Bombyx mori: one gene and its partner. The protein of the gene in region 1 purifies or fractionates together with the protein of each later gene. This does not show direct contact. Links are inferred from orthologs where the notes say so. Each region holds a gene or a part of one and is shown in the gene's direction. Other genes may lie near its edges. The genes, in order: protein patched and sonic hedgehog protein.

Region 1 (3,832 bases):
TAGTGATTAAAACTTAAAATTGCGTACAGGTGGTGCACGCGGCAACCCGAGTGACGGTTCACATGTACGACATCGAGTGGCGTCTGAAAGACTTATGCTACAGCCCCAGCATACCTAACTTCGAGGCTTATCACATCGAGAAGATCTTCGAAAACATCATTCCTTGCGCCATCATTACACCACTAGACTGTTTCTGGGAAGGCTCAAAACTCCTCGGACCCGATTATCCTATTTACGTTCCGTGAGTATAAAAATATCGAATCTTGAAATTATTTTTAAAAATCGATTGTGGATTCTTCGAATTATTCGAAATTATTTGGAAGTAACAGATAACAAAACGTTCTGTTTTTTTTTCCGTTTCAGTAATCTCAAACAAAAGCTACAATGGACGCATTTGAACCCGCAAGAAGTTTTAGAAGAAGTAAAGCAATTGAAGTTTCAGTTTCCTTACGGGACGGTAGAAGCGTACATGAAGAGAGCTGGTATCACCTCCGCTTACATGAAGAAGCCTTGCTTGGACCCAAACGACGCGCACTGCCCAAAAACGGCTCCCAACAAAAAATCGCGACATGTAAGTGTTGTTTTCAAATAATAATCGCCACGTTCTATTTGCAGTCCTCTTTCTGCCTCATTGTTAACGAAACGCTTTCAGTTAAATTGCGAACATACTTCTCGTGTCTTTGTAAACATTCCAGTTAGCATATATTATTTTGTGTGTCGAATATTTAGTTCGCTACGCTTGTTCGAGACTCACGATTGATAACCATTACGAGAACCTCCGGTCCTTTTACGGAGACTTCAATTTACGACAGTTTTATTAGCGCATAAATAAAACGTGTATAGAGAACATGAAAAATAAAACATCTTTATCGAAGCTAAACGCATAAACTTTAAATACGTTCCATAATAATAAAATATTTTTGGAAACGGTAATAAGGCGGGATGAAAGCGATCGCCGGCGGGCAGACGCAGCGACTACCTGCCGCGGCCGGCGCGCCTCCGAGAAAGTTACGTTCGTCTCGCGTGTGATACGATACCATCACGCGGAAACTCTCGTTTCGCAATCGAGCCCTCACTTACTGCCCATCGATTTTGACGTTGCAGTTCAAAGAACGCGTTACAATTCATTTAGAAAAAAAAGCGGTCGCAAGTTGCTACGGATACAAAATGTCTGTAACTTTTTTTTCCCCGAACTATTCTGATAGCCTTGAGAGGCTATATCAGCTTCTTGACGTGTAGGTGAGCTCACGGGGCTCAAACCGGGTGTGTTGCTAACACTGGCCCTAGCAAGAGCAGTGCTTCGCAGAATCTACCGGTGGATCGGAAACGCGACCCACTGAGAAGATTGTCTCTAACAAACAGCGATTTCGGCTTGCATTGATTGGGGTTCGTTTTTTTGAGTGCGATGGCAGTGTGCAGCGTCGCCACCCACGTTCGCTCGGGGGCCGGTCGGACGCGCATTGTTCGCTGCGCCGGACCGCGCGGCATTATACGGGTGCATTGTGCACGCTTCAATGGGCCTCGTTTGCCGCCGCCGTACCCACTCACAATGACACTATTATATCAATAATGCTCACCACCCAACCTACCTACACCTACTTCCACGGAAACCTCATAAATTTCATTCCTAACTTTGTTTTCTTGGACTTGTCGTGACCGCGGACTCTTCATTTGACGACAAGTTACTCAGAATTTTCTCAAACAATGAATTATACGTAGCCCAGCGGGTACTAAAAAATGTTCGAAAAATCTTTTTTTTTTTTTAATTGGTTATAAATTATTTAAGATTCTTATATTGAACGCTTTTTATTTCCTACCTATGCTGATGGCCTTGAGAAGCTATATCAGCTTCGCCCTAACGTGTAGATGAGCTCACGGGGCCGAAACCGGAGTGTTGCTAACACTGGCCATAGCAAGAGCAGTGCTTCCCTGAATCTACCACCGGATCGGAAACGCGACCCACTGAGAAGATCCGGCGAGAAACTCAGTGGGCTGTGTCTATAAGTTAATTCGCTCGTCGAGCCCTTCGTCGCAAGCGACGGGTTCGACGAGGACGGTGACCGGTGCTTGTGGTTCCTAAAAGCACCGTTAATGGATCGGGAGGATCCGTAATGAGAATTGAACGCGTATTTTGATATAAAGATAACGTTATTGTTCTAGGTTCCGGATGTGGCAGCAGAGTTGTCTCACGGCTGTTACGGCTTCGCAGCAGCGTACATGCACTGGCCGGAGCAGCTGATAGTAGGAGGCGCTACCAGGAATTCCACTTCGGTGCTGAGGAGTGCGAAGGCCCTGCAGACGGTCGTACAGCTGATGGGAGAACGAGAGATGTACGAGTATTGGGCAGATCACTACAAAGTGCACCACGTTGGGTGGACGCAAGAGAAAGCCGCCGTTGTACTCGACTCCTGGCAGAGAAAGTTCGCTGCAGTAAGTTTAACGACTACATTAACTATACGAGTATTAACTATATTTAACCAAATTGACATTTGCTATAATTTGATGAAGTAACTAATTTAATATTTAACTTAATATATAACTAATTTAATTTTTGGTAGGCAGCGGCTTAGCTCTGCCCCTGGCATTGCTGACGTCCATGAGCGACGGTGACCACTTACCATCAGGTGGGCCGTATGCTCGTCTGCCTACAAAGGCAATAAAAAAAAAAAAAAAACTTCATAGCATTTTGTTTTAAGAAATTTAATTTAATATGTTGTCAAATGTTAGCTTACAAAAAAATAAAATGTAAAAATCGCAAAAGAACACCCTCTATTTCTGTCGCGAAGTGATCTTACGAACCGTAAAACTGATTATTACGACAAAAAAATGGAGGTAAATTATAAAAAATATTAAAAAAACATATAATTCGGATGGTACATATTACGTCATGAATGTGCAGATTATATGTATATTGTCACGAAAGCACGTGAAATATATAAAAAGACATGATTTTTATAGTCTTCATAGGCTACATTGTGTTTATTAAAACTTAGACAATCTAAATTCGCCCATAACTACTTCTATCTCAAGAATGAAATGAATTTGGTTTACTAAAATTTTATGTATTGTTTGCAAATTGACATATTGAAACCAAACTTTGACTTCAATCTCTTTAATCACGCTAAACACTAAATCTCATCAATCGGTTTGTAATTAAACAGCTGAACTGTTTTGAACTTTTTGTAAAGACGTAACAGTAATCTTCTAAATTATTTTACTATTTATTATTTACATATACTAGTGATGCCCTGGTAGTCGAAATTCGACTATAATTAATTGAAATATAAGTTTGTACACTATTATGATTCTATTGTTAAAGACTTTTATACTTATACAATCACAAATTTCGTTAAGACTACGCTATAGAAAAATATTAATAAAGACAAACAATATTTAATCTATTCTCAATTTGACCACAGACGTCAAGAACAAAAGTTTGACAATAAATAAATAGTATTCATGCGTGTGTGCGTCAAATACATGGTAGTGTGTGTAATGTTTTTTTTATTGATTTAATGTATTTTTTAGTCATAATTTAAAAAAATATTAGCATTCGACACTCCTTCTCTATGTTCTCTATAATTGTGGGATATTTCATACTCCTCCGTCCGCGCAATTTTCGTAAAAAGAGATACAAAGTTTTTCCTTCGCGTATTAATTAATTATTTAGAAAACGATGTGTTAATCGTTCACTAACATTCCAGGAGGTGCGTAAGATGACCACTTCTGGCAAAGTGTCCGCCGCCTACAGTTTCTACCCGTTCTCGTCGTCCACGCTCAACGATATTCTCGGAAAATTCTCGGAACTCTCGCTCAAGAACATTATTTTGGG
Region 2 (4,475 bases), on another chromosome or scaffold:
TCACTGGTCGTAGAGCATATTGTGATCCTGCTAGGGTAGGGTATCATCATTCTACTTATTTATATCTCAGTTAGGTGGCGGCATTCACGTGGTATTGTTTTGTTTGCGGTAAAATTTATTCAACTAATTCAAAGAAATGACACAGAACAAAGCGCATGGACATTTCATCAAATTGAATTTATTAATGTTAATTTCCATTCTAATAATCATCATCAATAAATCTTTCGTTTTAAATATTAAACATTACTTTAGAAAAACAATCTCTATGTCACGTGTATTTATTTCCATATTACATAGGGGGTAATTATTATTTTTATAATTTTTTAAATGGGTAGGTACTTCCAGTTGTCAAATTCTTTAAATCCTTATTATGTAATTTACATGTGGGTATGAGTGTACGTTAAAATAGTGCATTATAATTTTATTAATATCAGTAAAATTATGAAAATAATAATTTTAATATTATTATTCATGATTATTTCTGATCACCGACTCTCTTGACTATGTAGATATGTACCGGTAGCGACGAATAAAAACTTTTAATATCATGTTTAGTTTATTTATTTAGTACACTTTATGTATTTTATACATTTTCGAACGTATACACTTTATGTATTTTATACATTTTCGAACGTATGTATACGGTAATGTCTTTAAGTCAATCAAAGGTGATGCAGAGAAAATCACGGTAGGTGTATTTCATAAATAAATAACATACAAACTTAAACACATTCTAATATTTAAATACATGCTCAGAACACATAAGCACTAAGAACACGTGATTTCTAAATTATTCAAACGAATACACATAACAAGCCTATAATAAAAAAAATACACATCAATTCAAGATGATTCTGCTTTTATACGCTTATGTTAAATTTATGTTTATTTTGCATAATGTTTGAACAGTTAGTGCCTTTTGGGGGTTTATCGCCAACTACATTCTACGTTTCTGAATTGATTAATTAACAAGATTGATTGTGTTTGACAATTTATAACATTAATATTAGACTAGCGACCCGCCCTCGCTTCGCTTCGGAAACATTAAAACACACATGAAACCAAAAAAATTAAATAAATTTTTTTAAAAAAAAGTAGCCTATGTTCATCAGGGACAATGTCGGCTTCTAATGGAAAAATAATTTTTCAAATCGGTCCAGTAGTTTCGGAACATTTTCGAAACAAACAAACAAACAAATCTTTCCTCTTTATAATATTAGTATAGATACATTCTTCTTTTTCAATCTGTGCATCAATCTACCGATTTCAAAATGCAGGTGCTCTGTAAATTGTTTAAAAATTTATCATCTACAGATACCAGTAGGATTTTTTATCATTTAGTAAAATCGAAATGAAAATGGCTTATAATATCTTAAGCACATTCATATGTAAATCTCAATTTTTTACTTATATACCTCAAATACATAAAATGTGTCATTTCGTGAATGAGATAACCGTGCTTGACACAAACTAGGGTAGTTGATTATGTATATTGTATTGCGTCCGCGTTAGGTTAATAGGATTTCCCCAGGGAGCGCGTCATCGCTTAATGTGCTGTGGGTAGCGAGTTATAAGTGAAGTGGGAGATTAACGGTGGTGGGAATGCTTGCTCATGGGTGTCGGGCGGCAAGCAAGGGATGCAAGTTCAGGCTCGGTGGTGGACGTGCAGTTGAGTCGGGTTGTGGCAGTTGCTCTCAGTGTCGCTCAAGTCGCGGCGCGCGGTGGTCGTGCGTCGAGCGCGTGTGGAGTGATGTCTGCGAGATGAGGCTCTCGCTGGTGCTTCTGTGGTTGGGTGCGGCGGCGGCATGCGGCCCGGGCCGCGGTTTCAACCGTCGCCACGGACCGCGCCGCATCACCCCCCTTGTCTTTGGCCAGCACGATCCGAATGTTAGCGAAAATAAGAACACCGCCAGTGGTCCTCCCGAGGGCCGCATCACCAGAGATGACGAGAGATTTAAAGACTTAGTGCCTAATTATAATCCGGATATAGACTTTAGGGACGACGAAGGCACTGGCGCTGATCGTCTAATGACTCAGGTAAGTAATTTATTTAAAAATTATAGTTGCATCATTTACAAATTTTAGATATAAAATAAATTAAGGAAATGCTACTATAACATAGATAGACGATACCCGCCACAAAAGTTCCCTTCGTTTTAAAGTAGATTTTGAATTATATACGAAGACGTACCTACAGAGGACGTCATGGCCCGTTACGGCTTTTAAGATTTCCTTGAAAACAACAGTTCTGATGAAGCATACGCTGTTTTGAAAACATCTCCTGGAGTGCAGAATGACAATTGTCGATGTAAACATTACGCTCGAGGAACAATGGGAACAAATTGCGGGCGTTACGGTAGCTTCGTAGCGAGTGTGCCGATTGTAGCACTGCAATTACGCAGGCTTTGTCAACAAATATTTTGACTCTGTGACTAATGGATGAATGATGGATTCTTTTCAATTTCGATGTCAATTTCGGTGAATATATGACCACCATAAAAGTTGGTGTCGAAGGCATTGAGTATCTTGCGTTGTCATTGTTGCTTTGTGTTAACGTGAAAACAACTAACTGGTAAACTATTTTATATGTATGTTATTTCATATAAATATATTACATATAATAATGGATAAATTATTTAATTTGTTTTGAATAAAGTATTTGTAATAGTAATGAAATCATTACAACTCGATTGATTTAGTATAAGTATGTGAACTTTTTTCCATAGTAAGTCATTCAGTTTAAAATATGAAACTATTCGTAAGACAATCATAGCCCGCTGTGTAATGGAATGTTCATGAAGGAATTTACGATGTTGCAGATAATTACTATCAATTACATATACCTATAGTACGAAAACAGCACTATAACACAGTTAATAGTTGTAATAGAAGTCGTCGTGGCCTAAAGGATAAGACGTCCGGTGCATTCGTATGTAGCGATGCACCGGTGTTCAAATCCCGCAGGCTGGTACCAATTTTTCGAATGAAATACGTACTTAACAAACGTTCACGATTGACTTCCACGGTGAAGGAATAACATCGTGTAATAAAAATCAAACCCGCAAAATTATAAATTGCGTAATTACTGGTGGTAGGACCTCTTGTGAGTCCACGCGGTTGGGTACCACCACCCTGCCTATTTCTGCCGTGAAACAGTAGTGCGTTTCGGTTTGAAGGGTGGGGCAGCCGTTGTAACTGTACTGATACCTTAGAACTTATATCTCAAGGTGCGTGGCGCATTTACGTTGTAGATGTCTATGGAATCCAGTTACCACTTAACACCAGGTGGGCTGTGAGCTCGTCCACTCATCTAAGCAATAAAAAAAAAAAAAGTTCGTAACGAGTATACGGCTTCACTAATGAACGAAAAATATTTACATTAAATAAACGGCAATCGATGGCAAATAAAAAATATTTTATGGTCGGCACCTTCAAAGAATTGCGCAGTTTAAATGCCAATGAATACGTACTTATAATTAATTAAATAAGACAATATTAAGTACGTGTGCAAGGAATTCCAGAATTTCGCGCATACGATTTGTTCACTTATTCCATTAGGCCGCGAACGCAATGTTAACCAGTTTTACACCTATTTATCACTACTATTAATTTTCAGGCTAAGATATTTCCCTTGTAAATAAAAAGGATTCAGTCACAAAGGTGTTATTTTGTAAAAATAAACAGACAGTGTACATTGCAATACATTTTCATAAAATATATATACTTTATAGGGTATTGTTGCATTTCTTATTTATTTTCTGCACAAAATATTTATTTTTAGAATTATGGTACATATAGCGTCATATAAAATTTTAAAATATTACTTTTAAATAGGTCTTTAATGGTTATTTATGTGCTTCACCAGTTCTCAAAGTGTAAACCAATCTATAAATTTTCCGAGTAATTTGAGTTTGTACAAAAAAGAGGAACTAAACGAAAATTAACTACAACATATTATCGATAAATTTGCGTCAGTAGCTTTAAAAAAATATTTATATAATAATATTTTGAAGCCACATTTCAACTCTTCCAACTATGATGACAAACTTTTCTTGTCCTATTTACGTTTATTAAGGTCGGTCAATGTCAAATGATAGTAGTCTGTCCGTAAAATGTTTGTATTATAACCTCGGTACGTACCGTCATCCTGATCTATCTACGCATCTAACTATGTGGCAGCAATTAAAGTAGGTAGAAATGTTTTCGAAGAGACCAGCTATGTCGAGACCAAATAATATAGTCAAAAAAATATCAAATGTTTAATTTCCGTGGATACTTATATATTATTATGTTTTTACCTTATAGTTGAAGTAGAAATATAATAATACATATATAAACGTAATAAGAGCTAAAGAAAATAAATTACGATTGAATTTATATAAATAGCAATATATTAAATGCTTGGTAAAGGAAATATTTTTTTTGTTATAGTTGGGAATTGTCTATTACTCGTTAATAGATCCCTACTACGATTT

Evidence for each region.
Region 2: the proteins of protein patched (region 1) and sonic hedgehog protein purify together in Drosophila melanogaster (affinity purification with western blotting; 3 studies listed by BioGRID). This does not show direct contact. The link is inferred for Bombyx mori from reciprocal best matches to the Drosophila melanogaster genes ptc and hh.

The regions. Positions count from the first base shown.
Region 1 is NC_085111.1:13,397,028-13,400,859, reverse strand, and holds part of protein patched, read left to right. Parts: intron 1-29; coding exon 30-241; intron 242-363; coding exon 364-571; intron 572-2,160; coding exon 2,161-2,430; intron 2,431-3,704; coding exon 3,705-3,832. UniProt on the Drosophila melanogaster protein: Segmentation polarity protein. Acts as a receptor for the hedgehog protein (hh). Associates with the smoothened protein (SMO) to transduce the hedgehog signal leading to the activation of wingless, decapentaplegic and patched itself.
Region 2 is NC_085115.1:6,252,033-6,256,507, forward strand, and holds the start of sonic hedgehog protein, read left to right. Parts: upstream 1-1,553; 5' UTR 1,554-1,602; coding exon 1,603-2,037; intron 2,038-4,475.